4 linked regions of the Schizosaccharomyces pombe genome follow. The protein of the gene in region 4 interacts with the protein of the main gene of each other region in a biochemical or structural test. Each region holds a gene or a part of one and is shown on either strand. Other genes may lie near its edges.

What was found.
Region 1: the proteins of hht2 (region 4) and clr4 interact in a test that uses a peptide from one of them, tested with the Schizosaccharomyces pombe proteins (one study listed by BioGRID).
Region 2: the proteins of hht2 (region 4) and chp2 interact in a test that uses a peptide from one of them, tested with the Schizosaccharomyces pombe proteins (2 studies listed by BioGRID).
Region 3: the proteins of hht2 (region 4) and chp1 interact in a test that uses a peptide from one of them, tested with the Schizosaccharomyces pombe proteins (3 studies listed by BioGRID, with this or other methods).

The regions. Positions count from the first base shown.
Region 1 is NC_003423.3:453,493-459,965, reverse strand, and holds clr4 (histone lysine H3-K9 methyltransferase (Suv39) Clr4), read left to right. Parts: upstream 1-1,555; 5' UTR 1,556-1,918; coding exon 1,919-3,391; 3' UTR 3,392-3,653; coding exon of another isoform or gene 3,654-4,964; 3' UTR 4,965-5,021; coding exon of another isoform or gene 5,022-5,298; 3' UTR 5,299-5,368; coding exon of another isoform or gene 5,369-5,736; 3' UTR 5,737-5,970; downstream 5,971-6,473. Other genes in the region: pleckstrin homology domain protein Meu6, read right to left, coding at 3,654-4,964, 5,022-5,298, 5,369-5,736. UniProt on the Schizosaccharomyces pombe protein: Histone methyltransferase which contributes to the establishment of heterochromatin by specifically methylating histone H3 to form H3K9me. Part of the Clr4 methyltransferase complex (ClrC).
Region 2 is NC_003423.3:4,348,276-4,351,800, forward strand, and holds chp2 (heterochromatin (HP1) family chromodomain protein Chp2), read left to right. Parts: upstream 1-1,719; coding exon 1,720-2,283; exon of another isoform or gene 2,284-2,320; coding exon 2,321-2,899; 3' UTR 2,900-2,969; downstream 2,970-3,525. Other genes in the region: ER membrane O-mannosyltransferase Ogm4, read left to right, coding at 1-713. UniProt on the Schizosaccharomyces pombe protein: Component of the kinetochore which plays a role in stabilizing microtubules and so allowing accurate chromosome segregation.
Region 3 is NC_003424.3:2,210,271-2,216,084, reverse strand, and holds chp1 (heterochromatin (HP1) family chromodomain protein Chp1), read left to right. Parts: upstream 1-1,739; 5' UTR 1,740-2,225; coding exon 2,226-5,108; 3' UTR 5,109-5,275; downstream 5,276-5,814. Other genes in the region: Rab11 family GTPase Ypt3, read right to left, coding at 1-270; aim18 (chalcone related protein), read left to right, coding at 5,410-5,814. UniProt on the Schizosaccharomyces pombe protein: Component of the kinetochore which plays a role in stabilizing microtubules and so allowing accurate chromosome segregation. Has a role in the RNA interference (RNAi) pathway which is important for heterochromatin formation and accurate chromosome segregation.
Region 4 is NC_003423.3:1,363,226-1,366,325, forward strand, and holds hht2 (histone H3 h3.2), read left to right. Parts: upstream 1-1,893; 5' UTR 1,894-1,932; coding exon 1,933-2,343; 3' UTR 2,344-2,593; downstream 2,594-3,100. Other genes in the region: hhf2 (histone H4 h4.2), read right to left, coding at 1,287-1,598; protein Sfi1, read right to left, coding at 2,991-3,100. UniProt on the Schizosaccharomyces pombe protein: Core component of nucleosome. Nucleosomes wrap and compact DNA into chromatin, limiting DNA accessibility to the cellular machineries which require DNA as a template.

The sequences.
Region 1 (6,473 bases), 910 kb from region 4:
TGCAATTGTTAATATATTTACATCTTGTCCTTTCACACTTCAAATAATAAATAATAAAGCAAGATTAAAAGCAAGAAATACAATTGAAAAATCGTAAATATATACAGAGATTTTGTCTTCGGTATGGCCTATTCCACATTGAAAATTTCGCAACCCGGTATGGTGGCTACAATATTAGTTACATTCAAAGTGTATTTGTTGAATCTTTTGTGCACAGTATATGGATCTGAAATTTCATTCTCATTCACTAGAGGCATCATTGGTAATATTGAATCCCTGGCATGTTATATTGGGCTTTGTTTTTTTGTTTATGGTATGAAGGGATAGGATTAAAGGCTTCGTTCAAAAAATATATCTAATGTACAGTAGGTATTCTGCAATCAAATTTTGAGTTTGTAGTCTGGTGAATTTATCGCACCATCTAATTGAGATCGACAATTATCAAGGGAGCTTTCACATAGAGTATTAAGAAGCACTAGAGATATGGGTCAAAGCATGTATGGTTTTTTGTTTTCTTTATTCATTTTTTCAAAGTTTAAATTTAAATGGAACTTTTTAAGGCATGTTGGCACCACCGATTTGCAATTCAAAATTGAACCAAATTAGCAACATTTTGGATTGGCTACTGTTAATCAACCTTTAGAGCCTGCAGAAAATTTATCCAGAAATGGAGTACATGACTTCTCCATTGTCATTCAAAATTAACAAGCGAAAAAACCAAATACCAACATGTGCTTCTAGAATGGGTTATGGGTTATCGCGTTCTGAAAGTTGGCTGGAGACTCAATCTTTTTTAATTGACCTTGTTTATCTAATGAGCTCAAGTTTAACCATTATTAAAAAATGAATGCTCGAATGCAAAGGTATTTGGTTCCTTACTTTATTAATTTTGCGAGAAGCTTGTTTATAGGCATTCTTTGTACCGAAATCAAAACCCGATAGTCAAATATAATAGTTTTTAATCATTATAAAAATGGCGATGCGACTAATTGTGTAAAAAGTTTTTCTATGGACAATCTTACTGTTGTTTCATTTCTTTTATTATTATAGAGCAATTGAACATACTATTGTTTTTTAAAAACGCTCAACTTTCTTATTTAGACACAGATGGGTTAGACTCCGTGCTGCACACTGATACAAAGTCAGCTACGCAGTTTGGTATCTGCTTTAACGATAACATAGAACTGCGGTAATTTTTCCTTGTTAACGTATTACAATACACAGGTATTACAAGTAGCAATTGAGTATAGGTATTAAATTATCTAGATTGCATTGTGACCTATAACTAATATAGCTTATAACTGAAGTTCATTCCTCAGTTCAGTTGCAGCTCAATTTATAATCTTTTTAGTCTTCATTAGCCAGCGTCTATGTAAATATGAAAATGGTTTTGCGCATTTATCAATAAACTGCTCTAAAGTAATATCCTAACATATGACATATAGTGATACGTTACGTGTTCTTCATTAGAGCAGTGTGTTGTTAACACCGTATTTCCTTTACGGGGCGATTCTCCGTTTCTTTAAATTTTGACTTCTGTAAAGGAGTGCGATTCAACAACCTGGTCGAAATACAAACTGTTATAACATGAATTGGCATTGCTAGTTTGGATTGTTGTTTGAAAGTTGATTTGTATATTATAACTTTAAAATTACTTTGTACTTGATACCTTTTTCAAATTTCAGAGCTTCAATTTTGCTCTGAAATTGAACACATCGACTTTATATATTTATTGCTCATTACTAAAAAACATTCAGTTTTATATTCTGAGTTCGCGGTCGTCTATTATTTTAGTCCTTTAGCAATTGTCATATTAACATAAACCCTCTCCTTATTTTATTTTTTAAATTCGTTCAGGCATCATTTGGAGGGTTTGCTAAAAATCATCTCACCAAACAAGAGGTTATTAGTTTTGCGAATGTCGCCTAAACAAGAGGAGTATGAAGTTGAAAGGATTGTGGACGAAAAATTGGATCGTAATGGAGCTGTCAAACTATATCGCATTCGATGGTTGAACTATTCATCTAGAAGTGATACTTGGGAGCCCCCTGAGAACCTTTCTGGATGTTCTGCCGTTTTAGCAGAATGGAAAAGGCGGAAGAGGAGACTAAAGGGAAGTAACTCCGACTCGGATTCACCGCACCATGCGAGCAATCCACATCCAAACAGTAGACAAAAGCACCAACATCAAACTTCAAAGTCAGTGCCTCGTTCTCAAAGATTTTCGCGGGAATTGAATGTAAAAAAGGAAAATAAAAAGGTTTTTTCTTCTCAAACTACCAAGAGACAATCTCGAAAACAATCCACCGCTCTGACGACGAATGATACTAGTATCATTTTAGACGATAGTCTTCATACAAATTCAAAGAAGCTGGGGAAGACGAGAAATGAAGTGAAGGAGGAATCTCAAAAAAGAGAACTAGTTTCCAATTCTATTAAAGAAGCTACATCCCCCAAAACATCTTCAATTCTCACAAAACCGCGAAACCCTTCCAAACTTGACTCTTATACCCATCTAAGTTTTTACGAAAAGAGAGAGCTATTTCGTAAGAAACTGCGGGAAATTGAAGGACCCGAAGTAACGCTTGTCAATGAAGTTGACGATGAACCCTGTCCATCTTTAGATTTTCAATTCATTAGCCAGTACCGCTTAACACAAGGTGTTATCCCGCCTGATCCAAATTTTCAATCTGGATGCAATTGCTCGTCCCTTGGCGGTTGTGACCTTAACAATCCTTCTCGTTGTGAGTGTTTAGATGATTTGGATGAGCCAACTCATTTTGCCTATGATGCACAGGGGCGGGTCCGTGCAGATACGGGTGCCGTTATATATGAATGCAACTCTTTTTGTTCTTGTTCAATGGAGTGTCCTAATCGCGTTGTTCAACGTGGTAGAACTCTTCCGCTTGAAATATTTAAAACAAAAGAAAAAGGATGGGGTGTACGTTCGCTTCGATTTGCCCCTGCTGGCACGTTTATCACTTGCTATTTAGGAGAAGTCATAACTTCAGCAGAGGCCGCCAAGCGTGACAAAAATTATGACGACGACGGTATTACCTATTTATTTGATTTAGACATGTTTGATGATGCTAGCGAGTATACAGTGGATGCTCAGAACTATGGAGATGTCTCTCGTTTTTTTAACCACTCCTGTTCACCTAATATAGCTATTTATTCTGCTGTTCGGAACCATGGATTTCGAACCATTTATGATCTCGCTTTTTTTGCCATCAAAGACATTCAGCCTCTAGAGGAGCTTACATTTGATTACGCTGGTGCAAAAGATTTCTCACCTGTTCAATCTCAAAAATCTCAGCAAAATAGAATTTCAAAACTTCGCCGGCAGTGCAAATGTGGTTCCGCTAATTGTCGTGGCTGGCTTTTCGGTTAAGCTAATTTATTACTGGTTGACTCCAATAATTACAATTTGTTTTTCTCCATTACTGTTAAACTGAAAAAGGTCATTCATTTTCTAAGCAACGAGATTATGTATATTATCTGACCTGTGGGATTTGCCGAACAATTATCGGTAAAACATATCGGTGCTTATATTTTTTACACTTGTTGAAAGCATTATAGTAATTGTTGTAAAGCCTAGCGTTAATGGAAAAACTCTTTTCATCTGCTGCGCACATGTGAAGTAAAAAGGGCGTTTAAGCGTTAACGGTAATGGACCGTCCTTCAGAAGCTATAGAAGGAGCTGCTTCTGTTTCGAGCACCTGGGGCATCTGATTGTTTTCTCCTTCTGCTGAGGCGAGGGCATCAGTTGTTTCTTCAGCTGGGTCTTCTTGTGCAGCTGTTCGAGGCGTTGGAGTTGTTGTAGGAGTTAAGGGAGTTTCCGGTTTTATTGTGGTTTTTGAGAACTGGGAAATTTCTTTTAGTCTCCCGTCTTTATCAAACTTCTTATGCACTTTTTTTTGCACCAAACCTGAGAGCTTCTTTGAAAGGTTGGAAGGAAATATCTCAAATCCTGCCTTAGCAAATTCAAGGGAAGGATCTGCCTGTAAAGTTTTAACACTTTTGGTAGGTTTAGCATACTTGTGAAGCTTAAAGCCGAATACTCTCTTGTTGCCTCCTTTTTTCTTCTTATGATGCCGATGATGCTTTTTTCCGGCTTTCTTAGACGTTCTATCTTCATTGCTGACAACACTCTCTTCATTAGTAGCTGCAGTGGAAGGGTCTTGATCGTCTGCAGTAGGGGTCGCAACATCGGGAAGTGCTATATCAGGAAGTGCAATATCAGTCTCTTCTATGAAAGCTTGTTCAACTGATTGGGCTGTACCTTTAACATCTTCTTCAATGGCGTCTGCTATTTGACCGATGGGGGTTCCGTTATCATTTTGAGTAGAAGCTTGCTCAACATTTTGAGTTGATGTTGATTCTTCTGCCGGACCTGTGGCTGGTTTTTCTTCTGATGCGGGAGCCACTTCTTCCGTAGTAGCAGGAAAATGTTCTTCAGTGGTGGGAATTTGGTTAGTTTCATTCTCAGGAACTTCGACTGATTGTGCTTCAACAGTAGTATCAACCGGGTCAGCTGACGTTTCATTATCAATGGGACTAGCCGTATCGTTTTGCGGAGTTTTCCCCTTAATCATGTTTTGAAAAAAGTCAAAAAGACCGTCTTTGGCAACAGAATTGTTTTGTTTTCCGCCATGAGATTTACTAGATGACTTTTTCGCGTCCCGTCCGTTAGAAAGCATTGGAAGGAAATAACGAAATGTTTCACTTGCTGAAGGACCTGAACGAGCTGCTAACTTGCCGAGTCTTTTAAGCGTGTCATTGTAAGCACGAAGCTCTTTAATTTTATCTTTGGTTTCCTTTTTCTTAGCAATGGCATTTTTGAGATCAGTAATCCATGTATTTTTACTTTCTGGGTCTAGGGCTTCAAGTGTTTCTGATTTACCATTGTTAAAATTGATGGTGAATTTGTTTCCAGTACCGGGTTCTATGGATACTGCATCAGTCTGAAAATACAGTTAGCACGGTTAAAACTAAAAATCAGGGGAATTAGGAATTCTTACCAAATTAATGATTCCGCTTGGGACACTAGTTGATTGAGATTTGGAGTAAAAGAGTAAACCACGGCAGTCTTGAGTAGCTTTAGCGATACGGTTAAGGTGATCATTAGCAGACTGGAAGAGGGAATCAGCATCAGAGTCGTGCATTTGCTCAGAAGCTAAGGAAGGTTCCGTTGGGTTACCTTGCAAAGTACCATGGAAGTGTTTTTTATAATAATGGTCTAATAAATCCATAGACATAGGGCCTTCTAGCATATAAAAATACCTTTTCATGACATGACTACATGTGGTTAGTAAGATTACTCAATCGATTGTTTGATTTTTAATAAATGGATGCTGTTTTGACTTACGGAATAAGTCCGTTGGATCGACAGTATAAATACCCACCAGTGGTGTAGGTCAATGGTTTTTCATCCTTGGCTTTCTTCTTGGATTTTTTTTCTTCAACCTTGGGAGCTGCCACGCTGTTTGGATCATCATCTGCAGGATCGATATTGTCGACTGTTTCAGGCTCCTTGGGTTCCTCAGGTGCTTGTACTTCTGCAGGAACAGCGTTTTCAGTGGCATCATCATTGTCGGTTTCGTTGCTCAATGGCACCTCCAGTGTCTCCACCTGGGCCTCAGCAGATCCCGAATCATGTTCATTGTGTTCCGACACATTTTCGAAAGTAGGTTCAGCAATCTGCTCAGGTCGTTCTTCACGGCCCTCATAAGACATGATAAGAAGTCGAAAACAACAGTTAGGCTCTCAATTTTGGATTTTTTTTATGCTGTAAATATTTGTGGTAGAGGAAAAGTCTGCGCCAAGCTGGTTATTTGAATACCAATTGTTGGCGAGAATGTAAACAAACAAATCGACTACCTAATATACAAACAAACGATGGACATCAATAGAAAAGGGAAAATACATAGAATTTACTTTTTAAATGTTAAAAAATTTCTACTAATTCATTCTTATTAATAAAATCTTCAACGGCCATTAAATCTTGTATTCGCTCATTCGTATCAAAACATATACATTCTTCTGGAATCGAGCTGTCTGCGATTGAATGAACTATATAGTATTGAGAGATTTTACAATTAAGTGTTTGTCTTTAATTTCTAATTGCGACTACCATCCTAAAATTTTCATTTGAGTTGAAATCTGTTTAACAACAACAGATGAGCCATATTTTTCATTGACTTTATACATGATTGTCACCATTAGTTCCTTTTTTTATAAAAATTAAATGTTGTTTAACTATTCTGCTCATTTGTTTTGCTTAAAAACTAAGTAGGTTTTAATTGGTAAGAATTTTACGAGATTTTAAATTTTTATTTATTTACTTATTATTTTTGACGAACGCTAGTTTCAAAAAAGCAAATCCAAACTCGAGGTATTTTCAAATTGTTTAAAATTTTCAATAGAATGGAAGGATGTTTTTTAATGCTTTCCACATCTTTGAATTGGAAATT
Region 2 (3,525 bases), 3.0 Mb from region 4:
AAATTCCTAAAAAACTACCATTTTGGAAAAAATATTTGGAGCTACAACTCACAATGTTTAGACAAAATAATATGTTAACCGAGTTTCATCCATACAGTTCTAATCCTTCTGATTGGTTTACTTTGCACCACGGTATTGCGTTTTGGGCTAAAAGTGAGGAAAACAAGCAAATATATTTATTGGGAAATCCTATCGGTTGGTGGATCATTGCCGGTACTGTTTTGAGTACGACGGTGGTCGCTGCAGCTGAAATTTTGCTTCGCCAAAGAGGTATTCGTACTTTACCTGAAACTGTCCGTAACCACTTTTACCGTTCCACTATGTTTTTCTACATGACTTATGTCTTTCATTATCTTCCATTCTTTATCATGGGTCGTCAATTGTTTTTACACCATTATCTTCCTGCTCATTTGGCAGGTTCCTTGCTTGTAGGCGCATTTATACAGTTAGCCTGTCGCAAATCCTTCCGATCACCCGTGTCCGCAGGAGTTCCGATTCCTAAAGATGTCGATGAAAAAGGACATTCCAAATGTCATAGAAAATACGGTCATGTAATAGAGCTCATCTGTACATTACTACTCATTTTTGTCGTTATTTATTGTTTCACCTTTTTCGCTCCAATGACATACGGAGATAAAAGCCTTAGCGTTGATGAATGGACGAGACGTAAATGGCTTGATTCATGGGTGTTTCAATACCAAAAACAAAATTAGCCACTTTCATAATGATTCTTTTGAGCTCGAATTTTTTTAACAAAGCTGCAAAGCTGCTTTTGGTCTGCTAATATTTAATAAAAAAACAGTTATCGCTGGCTTGGACATTTGATCCAGCTCTAAATTGATTATACCCTATAATTTCAATATTCGTGGATCGGCAACCTATTCCGTTTAGCTTTTATATCTACTTATAAATTAAGCGATTATTAGATCGATAACTCTACGGAAGTCAGATCGTTATACACTTTACGTATCTAGGAAATTCATAGAATATCAAAAAAAAGTACTTGGTAGTAATTGGTTTTCACAATATTTGCTATTGCATGAAGCTTGATATCTATATTTTCTGTTGATTAACCAAGCATAGTAGATAGATCTTTAATTACAAGTTTTAAAGAAATGAAATAATACTTTCTTTTAAATATTGCTTACAAAAAAGATTTATAATATATTTACAATTTTTTAGTTTTCCAGAAAAACTATGAACACTTTTAATACATCCCTTACTTGCCTTAACAATAGGTAGATTTGTTTAAGACAAGCGTATTATGGGACCTTGAGCATCCTAACCCTTTACATGTATGTTATTTTTATGCACAGCACTTTATCTTCAAATTTTTTTGAACTTCGATTCTAAATTGGTTATTATTTTAATACTGTATTCATATTTAGTTGAACCAATACATTGCAGGACTTGCACTTAATACTACTTCTGGATTGTAAATCGCTTTGTGATAAACCTTACCTAAAATTTCCGTTGTCCTTTCACAATATATAAAAACTGTCAATTATATTCAAAATACTTTTTCTTGGCGGATCTTTTAAAACTGTATTTATAAAGGGAGGAGAAAATATCAATGAATCCGTCGAAATAAACATATAAGCAGCAATATTATTGCATAACCAGCATCAAATTAATTAGAGCAGAATATTTTTTATTAAATTTTTAATTGATATATGAAGGGTTAATAATTTATGTTGGTATATCTGGAAAGTCTTAATAATGGTCAAAAGTGCCGACCTTGACCTAATGAATAGTATAATCAGTGAAAGTGATGAAAATTTTAGTCCTCCACCATTCACTGTTGAAGAAGCCGAAAATTCAATTAACAATAAGTCTTCGACAGCGAGTTTGGAAAGTCCTCAAAATGGTTCATGGCATCCTTCGCTTTACGGTCTTAGTGTTCCCGAAAAAACCCATATTCAAAATTCTTTAGACTTATACAGTCATGGAAATTCAGGGTCTCAGAAGACTCACAATGTGTCGTTCAGTTGTGAAATAAGAAAAGTCAAAAGTTCCAAATTGTCTCCAATCTCTAACATGGAAGACTCTGAAGATAAAAAAGAAGAGGATGAATCTTCTAGTTACAAAAACGAATTTAAAAGTTCATCTTCTGCTTCTGTTTCTTCAAATTTCGAAAAGACTAGTGGTTCTGATGATCATAACTCTCAATCACCCGTTCCTCTGAATGAAGGGTTTGAGTATATTGCTAGTTCTGGTAGTGAAGATAAAAATTCAGATGAAGAATTCGCCGTGGAAATGATTCTAGATAGTAGGATGAAAAAGGTGCGCAACATTAATACTTGTCTTGCTAACCATGTAGGATGGATCAGGCTTCCAATATTATTTGAAATGGGAAGGGTACGATGACCCTTCCGATAATACATGGAATGATGAAGAAGATTGTGCGGGCTGTCTGGAATTAATAGACGCATACTGGGAATCTAGAGGAGGTAAACCAGATCTTTCGTCTTTAATACGATTGACGCGAAGCCGCGCACGATCTTCGAATGAAGCTTCCTATGTTGAGAAAGATGAGAGTTCAAACTCTGATGACTCTATATCTTATAAAAGAAGGAGAAGCAGGAATGCAGCAAATCGTATTACGGATTATGTCGACTCGGATTTATCTGAATCTTCTATGAAAGAAAAGCAAAGCAAAATTGAGAAATATATGAAATCTGATAAATCTTCAAAAAATTTTAAACCTCCTTTTCAGAAGAAAAGCTGGGAAGATTTGGTTGATTGTGTTAAAACGGTTCAACAACTTGATAATGGTAAACTAATTGCAAAAATAAAGTGGAAAAATGGTTACGTCTCAACTCACGATAACATAATAATTCACCAAAAATGTCCTCTTAAAATTATTGAATATTACGAGGCTCATATTAAATTTACATAATGTTGATCTTTGGACTTAATAATTAGAATTACGAGTGGGTTACTAAGATAGAACTATAAGATTCAGCTAAAATTTTTACAGTTTTTTTGTAAGCTTTTCTTAGAAATGTTGCACCCGATGCACATATTCCTCACAAAAAATGCAGAATGTAGACTGTGTTGTAAAACTCAAAAAATTGCAGTATTTTATTCTATTCAAGGTCAGCTATAAAGTTGCATAAAGTGCTGTATTGGTTTCATATTTTAATAAAGCATTAAAACCAAGGTCAAGATACCAGGTAAAAGATTTTGGTAGCTAAACAAAATATTCTTTGAAAGGAAAATTTGAGTTTGCGCCACTGCCATGCTTTTTGTTTATGTATAGCACATCAAATTCAGCTTGAAACTGTCAAATATCAACTCGTTCAACGCTTTTACAGTGCCTACAATCTCTAAAAAATTGTACATTTCTGAAACTCAAATTGTATAAATCAAAACTATGATTGCATTCAGATTCGTTTTTCACAAACCAAAGCAGAAGGTAATGCTGAAATACCAATATCAAATTAGCGTTTCCTAAGGAGATTTACAGCCAAAAGCCTTTTCCGAATACAATCGCAATATCTTTCTACTCGCTAAATTATTATA
Region 3 (5,814 bases), on a different chromosome or scaffold from region 4:
GTAAACAATCAGAGCACCAACAGCACCACGGTAATAAGCTGAGGTAATGGCCCGATAACGTTCCTGACCGGCAGTATCCCAGATCTGTGCTTTAATTTTTTTGTTGTCAAGAACAATATTTCTAGTAGCAAATTCAACACCAATAGTACTCTTGCTTTCGATATTAAATTCATTCCTAGTGAAACGCATAAGTAGGTTTGACTTTCCAACACCACTATCCCCAATCAGCACAGTCTTGAACAAATAATCGTATTCGTCCTCTTGACACATGGCTAAGTTCTCTATCGGTAAATCTACGAACAATTTTTGTTAACAAATATTTAAGGTCAAATAATATCAAGGTATATACCTGTAAATTACAATGAACCCTGCTTTCGATAGTCGAAGAATTTACTTAGTCGTAGTTTGTTGTAGGTAAGTTGCAGAGGGATATCAGAAAACCTAAGGAAGTAATAATCCTTTATCATGGTAACAAAAAAAAGTCCACTAGTGCCACTGGCCGTTAAAATGCATATAACGCATTCCAATGATTCATTAAATAATTATACTGCGTTACAAAGAATGTCGTAATCATGAGAAGGCTGGTGTCGTTTAGTGATTGCTATCATCAAAATCATTATGCTGTTGTTCACTATAAAGCGCTATTTTGTAAACATTTTAAAATGCCTTTGATATAAAGAAGCGCAAGTACTCAATTGAATGCAAGTACTATCAATTATATGAATGACCGATTGAACCCAATCGCAAAACTGGATATGGACGGGTTGGTATGGGTTTTTACAGTGCGATTAGTCAGTACTATACCCATTTTAGTCCTGCATCAAACAATGATGTAGAAATTCTTTGAAAGCAATGTTTTGATTTCCAAGTTACAAAGTTATCTAGCCAAAGAAAGAATATTTTAAGTTCCGGTTTTTTCAGCAGCTTTTTCTCACTTTTATAATGGTCACAATGATCGAAATTAAAAATTTGAAAGAATAAAATTGGCGGCTCAATTGAAATCTTTTTCTTTATGCAAAAGTTATACAATGTTGGATGCTGCTCATGGCATGCAGGCATCCTTCATGCAGAAAGTTACTTGAGTAATCCATCGAATAATTATCGTTGGCAAATCTTGGGTTAACAAGAAACAAAAAAATCCTGCACATAAACAGTTTTTCTTATTAAGTTCATTTCATGGAAAACGAATAACATAGTTCCGTAATAATATAAGTAAATGGATCCCTTGGTTAACCTCTATATAAAATTAATGCAAGCAATTATCAAAAGAGGTCGTGTGGTTTAGATGGTTATAATTTCTGCTTAACATGCTAGTTCGCAGACGGTCCCAAGTTCGAGTCTTGGCACGATCATTTTTTTCTATCGTAGTAATTATTTACTTTTCTTATTGTACTACCAGTTTTGGAATGATATGTTGTGTTGAATTCGTTTATATAGAGTTAACACATTTAGAGGTATTATGTATAAACGCATCGTTTAATAAATTGCAGCGCTCAAAATCTACTCATTGTAGCTTTTTGAAAACAAAATTCATTATTTGTTTAAAGTTTTTCTAACTTACACAACCACCCAGAAAATAAAATTAGAAGTTCAGGAGGAATGAGAAAATTTTAAACATTTATCAATTTACCAACAAAGTTTTTTGACTACTAGTACCTCATGTATGCAACTAGTAACACTAGTGGTTAGTGAGTATTTTCTCAAAGTACATATGTCTCCATAGGTGTCTTCAAATCTGCAACCTCAACCTCACACACTTGATTAATGCAATAAAACTCCAAACCCAATCGAAAACTTATTTTTTTGTATATTTAACGGTTTGCGTTGGTGACACGACGGTAAAATCACGCGGATTTTGTTTGATTCCAAAATTCGAGTGCATAAGCCATCTTGCTTATTGCAGCGAGACTTCGAAATTCTAACATCTAAAAGCTTCATTACTGGAATTATCTGTTGTTATTCTTGTGTTCCATTGGTAAAAAAATCACAAGCAAAAGGGAAATATTTGAGCCATTTTAGAGGTTATACTCTGCCCTTCATGCAACTATAAAAGTAGTTGAAAGGGAAGAACTTTGGCTAATAGTTTTGTCAAGGAATCTATTCAATCTTGCTTAATTCCGTTTTTTTTTTAAATTCATATCTTTATCCTTTTATATATTTTTTTGTTGTAATACTTCAATCTCTCTTAGCGACACGTAGGTGAGCAAAAAACCCGCTACCTTGAAATGGTATCTGTTAAACCACTTCCTGATATTGACTCGAATGAAGGTGAGACAGACGCGGATGTTTATGAGGTGGAAGATATCCTTGCTGACCGCGTAAATAAAAATGGCATAAACGAATATTATATAAAATGGGCTGGCTATGATTGGTATGATAATACTTGGGAACCTGAACAAAATTTATTCGGTGCGGAAAAAGTGCTTAAAAAATGGAAAAAACGGAAAAAGTTAATTGCTAAAGGCTTGCTTGAACCTTTCGATGCGGAAGATAATGAGGCAAAGAAAATGAAGAGAGAAAAGGAGATATTGAGGCAACAAAGACAAAAGCGCAAATCCGAGCTTACCCAATTATCTCAAAAAGTCAAAGAAAAATTCAAAAAGATGCGTAAGAAGCCTGCCCGAAGGATTGTAACCATCGCAAATGATGAAGAGGAAGAGGACGATCAGACAATGGATGAGGATGCGTTTGAGAGAAAAAGTATGCAAGGGGAATTGAAGGAGAGGAATTTGACCGATAAAACTAGCACGCTATCCACATCGTTTGGTGAAACTAGCCCTGATGTTAATCCTTTCTACTTATCAGAGTGGCCTACAGTTACCGACAGTATTTTATTGTCCAAAAGCCTCTCCAGCGATGCAATACCTTTGAAAAATGGCGAAATTAAAAGCACAATGTTGATGCCCAGTGACTCTGACAACTCAGTTCCCGGAATTCAAAATTCGAACAATCTTGAAAATACTGGCGCTTTTGTTGAAAATGCGAATTCACCACAATCTAACACCCCCTTGTCAACCTTTAGGCATTCAAGCCCTTTAAGTCTGTCGCCAGTAATAACTTCCGATAATGATGTTGCCAATTCATTATTTTTTAGCAATTCGACTCCTCTTCCTTCCTCTTTGAAGATAAAAAAGGAAGCACCGAAATTAGAAACGCATACGATATTAGTTAGTGATAATTCTGGTTCTTTAACGAAGCAAGATATTTTATCGTACTTTGCTTTTATCAAAGGAAATATTGAGGTCTTTTTTCTCAAATCACCAAAGAAAGACAAAGTTTGTAATATGGCCTACATTCAATTCGATTCTATCGAACAAGCCAAACTTGCGTATGATAAAGGGCATCCAAGTTGGCATGTAACTTTAGTAAAAGGGAAGATATCAACTGATATGGAAGAATGTAAAGTCTCAAAGTCTATTTTAAAAACAACCCCTTCAAAGAAAGCAAATGCAAGGTCCGTTTCTTTTACACAAACAACAACAGATACCCTTTCTGAGTCGGAAAAATTTGCTAGCAATGTCGATCTGGACGAAAATTTCGATTTCAACGTAAACGTGACGAATGAAGATGCTAAGCAGCTTAAGAAAAGTGTTATCGGAAGTAGTTGGACTACTGTTAATAACGACTGGAACAGTGTTTCTAAAAGCGATCAAACTTTTGAAAATGATGGAGCTAGCAAAGTAGTTCCGGCTGGTAATATTACTTTAAATTCGGATAACTCTCTTCACCATTCGATAAGCGAATCCGAAGATCTTTCTTCAGCAAGCACATTGTCTGATTATTTTAGATTCGTTTTGCGAGTCGGAAAATCTCTCTACTATGCTGGAGAATTGTCATTTGATATATCCAAGCTTAAGGCGGAAACTGAACATCAACAGTTGTTACGAAGTTTAGTCAGTTGCAAGCAAGTAGATGTTTTACGTTTTGTTACTTCACAATATCTCGAGGTATTTGGTACTTGCTTGACTAAAGTTCTTTCCGGAAGTCTTTGTATTCGAAGCGATGTTGATATGACTCACTTTAAAAATATACTAAACCGCGGCAACGGTGCTGGCATCGTTCTGGGTAGTAACTATACATTATTATTATTTACAGAGGATAATAATGCTTTAATGAATTTATACGATTGTCAAGGCCAAAGCAATAGCCCTTTTTGGATGGTGATTTTTGAACCTTTAGAATCAATCCTAGTCGAATGGTCGGCAAAAAATCTAAGGCCTAAAAAGCCATATCATAAATCCCAATCTTACTTGTCTTATTTACTACAATTAGGCCACATCGATTTACATAAAATAGGCGCTTTTCAAGCTACACAAATTTTAATTGTCTCTAAACAGCCTTCTCCGGAGGCAGAAGAATTGGAGGATACTTTTAGAGAAGCTGCTATTCCGACATTTCGAGGACTCGAGATTCCGGAATCTTTGTTTTTATCACAGAATGTTTTTGTTTTCCTGAATGTCTCACTAGAGGATGATTTTGATCAACTGCAATTTTTAACACTGGCGAAAAGGAAAAGTTGTAAATTTTTCTTATTTGGTTTGTCACTCCCTCTCAAAAGTCCTAATGATTCACACGTGGGTACGGACTTTAAGAAAAACAATGAACCCCTTGATAAGTTGACATATTCACAGTACTTAAGACCGATGTTTCCTAAGGGTGGGGTGGTATCTGTTACACTCTCAGCACTTATAAAAACACCACGGCTTTTGGAACTCATTAGTCCATTTCTTGAGATTAAAAAAGATTCATGGATTTTAATTCTACCCCCATCAATTGTGGATATGGTCAAGAGCTATTTTGTAACAAACAATCCAGACAAAAGTCTCTTGGAAATTCAAAACTTATTGAATACACTCCAGCGCTACCTGACCAACCCAGCGCTGAAGAACGTGACTTTGTATCAGGATTGGGATATTGTGATCGATGATAGCGCTGATGTATCTTTAGCCAGCACTCTACAATTGTACCAGAAAAAAAATTATGATAAATATAGAAGGTTCGTATTGATTCACGAGCTTAAAAATGAATTGACGCCAGTTAATGGCCTTGACATTGTTGACTATGATGAGTTCAAAGAGACTTTTATGAGAGCTATTGGTTTAAAATAGTCGTTTTATTTATTTTGGGATACGGCGGACAATGGGATATATAGACTGACATTTTTTCTTATTACGAATGGATAGGAATACTTAAAATTAAACTCAAAGACTTATACTAGAAAATAACAGTCTACTCTTTAGAAATTAGACGATTAATTAATTAATTAATTTTTTCACTATATAATAACCGTATGTTTCAACATTGTTAGTTGTTTTTGCGCACCTCCTTAAAATCTAGGATCTCTTGGAAAAACATGTGATCCAATACCAACCGGCTAATATCTGTGTGTGTGTATTTAAACTAAACAACATGTTTGGTACTCGTTTTTTTGCTTATCAATTTTGCAAGAATTGGTTATCGAAACGACCAGGATTGGTCTTTTGGAGCTCAGTAGCAACAATAAATGCCATGTATCAAACTCGCCCTCTATACTGTGAGAGTGTCACCAAGACAATTCAACAAACATACGAAGGATTAGTTCAAAAAAGAATTAATAATGAGGATGAACTATTTTTGTTAGGTTCAGGACCGCGATATGTTTCTTTTCTAAGTATTCATGTGTATGATATCGAATTGTATATTCAGAAGAAAGATGTTCAAACCGTTCACACTATATTGCAAAAGGAGGTAGATCCGAAATTAGGGCTAGAAATGAGTATGAAAGACGAAGAAATTGGAAGTCGGATCGTGGCAGCGCTATTGAAAAACGAAATG
Region 4 (3,100 bases):
TTTAGGGCAACTTGTGAAACGGCTAAAGTGTGTTGAAGACAAAATCAAGTGAAAGAGCAAGTATTAAAAAAGGGTAAATAAAAATAAAAGAAAGAAAAGTTATTTTAATTTAAAAACTAACGAACAAAAACCTTTTAAGTAAATAAGAAAAGTATAATTCAGTAGTGTAAAAATCTAATAAACACTGTTTCAATGTACTAATAATCTGTGTATATACTTTCTATTTCATATTATTAATATCATAGAGCAAAAATGGTGGCATTTTTATTGAAAATCGCTGCATATGTTCCTGTTGTTCATCGCTTTTATTAATCACGTATGTTAACAGACTGAACGGAAAAGAGCAGAAGCTTGTTTAATTTGATTTGAACTTCCGCAATTGCATAATTGCCACATTTCTCTATCTGACATTGCTCTCTTTATTATTATTTGATTGTTTCATTTGCTTGGCTATGGAAGTTCATAAATTAGTAGGAGGACGTGGGCTATTTCGAGATGAAAGCGAAATTTCACTCTTTACGCTTCTCAATTCCGACAGAGTGATAAAACGGTTTGCCAAATGCCCGTCTATCGCTATTGGCGACAGTGTACCAAAGACATCCAGTTTTGCTTCACCTACCGATACACTAAGATACTCAGCTGAAAAATTTGCTTCGAGAATCCGCTTTTCCTTAAAATACAGTCACATCGTTTATCAAAAATTATAGCCACAATACGTGAGTAATAAATTCACGCACAGATGAGTTTCCCTGTTGGGAAAAGAAGACAGCTTGCTTTCAGTACATTTACCTTACAATCAGCTTGTAGAGTTCTCTTTGTATAATATAAATAGATGGGTTCGTGCCCAATTTTTTCTCAAATTGAAGCCTACAATATATTAGCATAGTTATGATATGACTCCAACCTTCCAAACATACATTAATGAAACGTGATAACTACAGGCTAAATTTGTGTGTTTTCTTGTCCTCCCCCCCATAAATGTTAGATAAAAACAATTTATTTATTTATTTCTAAAAACAGAGCTTACTCCCAGAGTAAGTCAGACACAAGGTTGGGTAAAAATTTCTCAGACGTGCAATCCATAATGAAAGAAAAACAAATCCCTTCAATAAAATTGCATTTCTTCAAGGAAAACCAACCATTTTCGTGCAAATAAATATTCATTGAATGGATATTAAAAGAGAAATGAGTAAAGATAAAAAGAGAAACAACTATTAATATGCAAAGTAGGAAAAAAAGAAAAAGAAAATACAATTCACTTCAATATCGAAAAGTGTGCAACCAGTTTAACCACCGAAACCATAAATGGTACGGCCTTGACGCTTCAAAGAGTAGACAACGTCCAAGGAAGTGACAGTCTTACGCTTGGCGTGTTCAGTGTAGGTAACTGCATCACGGATAACGTTTTCCAAGAAAAGCTTGAGAACGGCACGAGTCTCTTCGTAAACCAAAGCAGAAATACGCTTAACACCGCCACGACGAGCAAGACGACGAATGGCAGGCTTAGTAATACCTTGAATGTTATCACGAAGGATCTTACGATGGCGCTTAGCACCACCCTTTCCCAATCCTTTACCACCTTTTCCACGACCAGACATCTTATATGAGTAATGGGATTCCTGTAAGTTCAAACAAACTGACTACCAATTGATCAATTTACAATATCAAAAACTAATTTTCAAGCGCAAACACTGAAATTCCTATGATTTGAATTTCAATGGCTTCTCGTACTAGTCGTAGTAGTTACTGTGTAAGTGCTGTAGTTAGGCGTCCATCTCCATATATATATACATTTTTTCAGGTAGCGGGGAAGCCGAAATCGCAATCTTAAATCAGGGTTAGGGTTGTGATTGACTGAGGTATATATAGCAGGAAGTGTCCACACCCGACGTGGAAAGAACCTTTTTGTAAGTTTATTTACCGAATTACGTTATGGCTCGTACCAAGCAAACTGCTCGTAAATCTACCGGTGGTAAGGCACCCCGTAAGCAATTGGCCTCTAAGGCTGCCCGTAAGGCCGCTCCCGCTACTGGCGGTGTCAAGAAGCCTCATCGTTATCGTCCTGGTACTGTCGCTCTTCGTGAAATCCGTCGTTACCAAAAGTCTACTGAATTGTTGATTCGCAAACTTCCCTTCCAACGTTTGGTCCGTGAAATTGCCCAAGATTTTAAGACTGACTTGCGTTTCCAATCCTCCGCAATTGGTGCTCTTCAAGAAGCTGTCGAGGCTTATCTTGTCTCTCTCTTCGAAGATACCAATCTTTGCGCTATCCATGGCAAGCGTGTTACCATTCAACCCAAGGATATGCAATTGGCCCGTCGTCTTCGTGGCGAACGCTCTTAAATGCATTGATTGCCTAATATTTTATTTGGTATATTGTGTTTATTGGGTTTAAGTTTTGCATTTCCTAATTTTTTCAATCATTGTCATGTATATTTCCTTGGTTTAATGTCGGGTTTAGCATATTAATTTTTATGTTTTTGCTTTCTCACTTGACTTATTCTGAAACACTGTTTTAAAGCTTTGTAGTTTTTAATTTTTTTTCCTTTGTTAATCTGTTTTTATTAATTTAAATAGTTTTTTTTTTATTATACGTATTTCATTTTTGTAAATTTTTCATTGTAAGAAAAAAATTTTTTTTTTAAATTTGTTTGACCGCCTGCTACTGTAAGTCGTAGTACTTGCTTTGAACATCTTATGGAGCATTACTCTCCTAACGATTTGGTAAAGTCCTTTTAAAATTATCAAGTGAAGCGTTCACTTCCTGCTTAAAGTTTTTTTTTTTTTTTTTTAAGTATTCCACACGTACTTGTAATGTGTTGCAGGATTATTGATGCTACTGTTACACGAATTTTCGACTATGTATTAAACTTTTCAAAGCAATGACTATTATATTATACATATCTAAAGGTTTATCAATATACTCTCAACTCATTTCAAATGGTTAGATAAAAAAAAAGAGAACTAACTCTCTCCGTCAATCGTAAATGTCAACGGGTATTAGGAGGTATAGGCCGCAGAAACTTGGAAAATCGAGATATGGGAGTCTTTAGTTCCTGCTTCCAGCGATTTTCAAAATTTACAGACTCATCAGTGAATT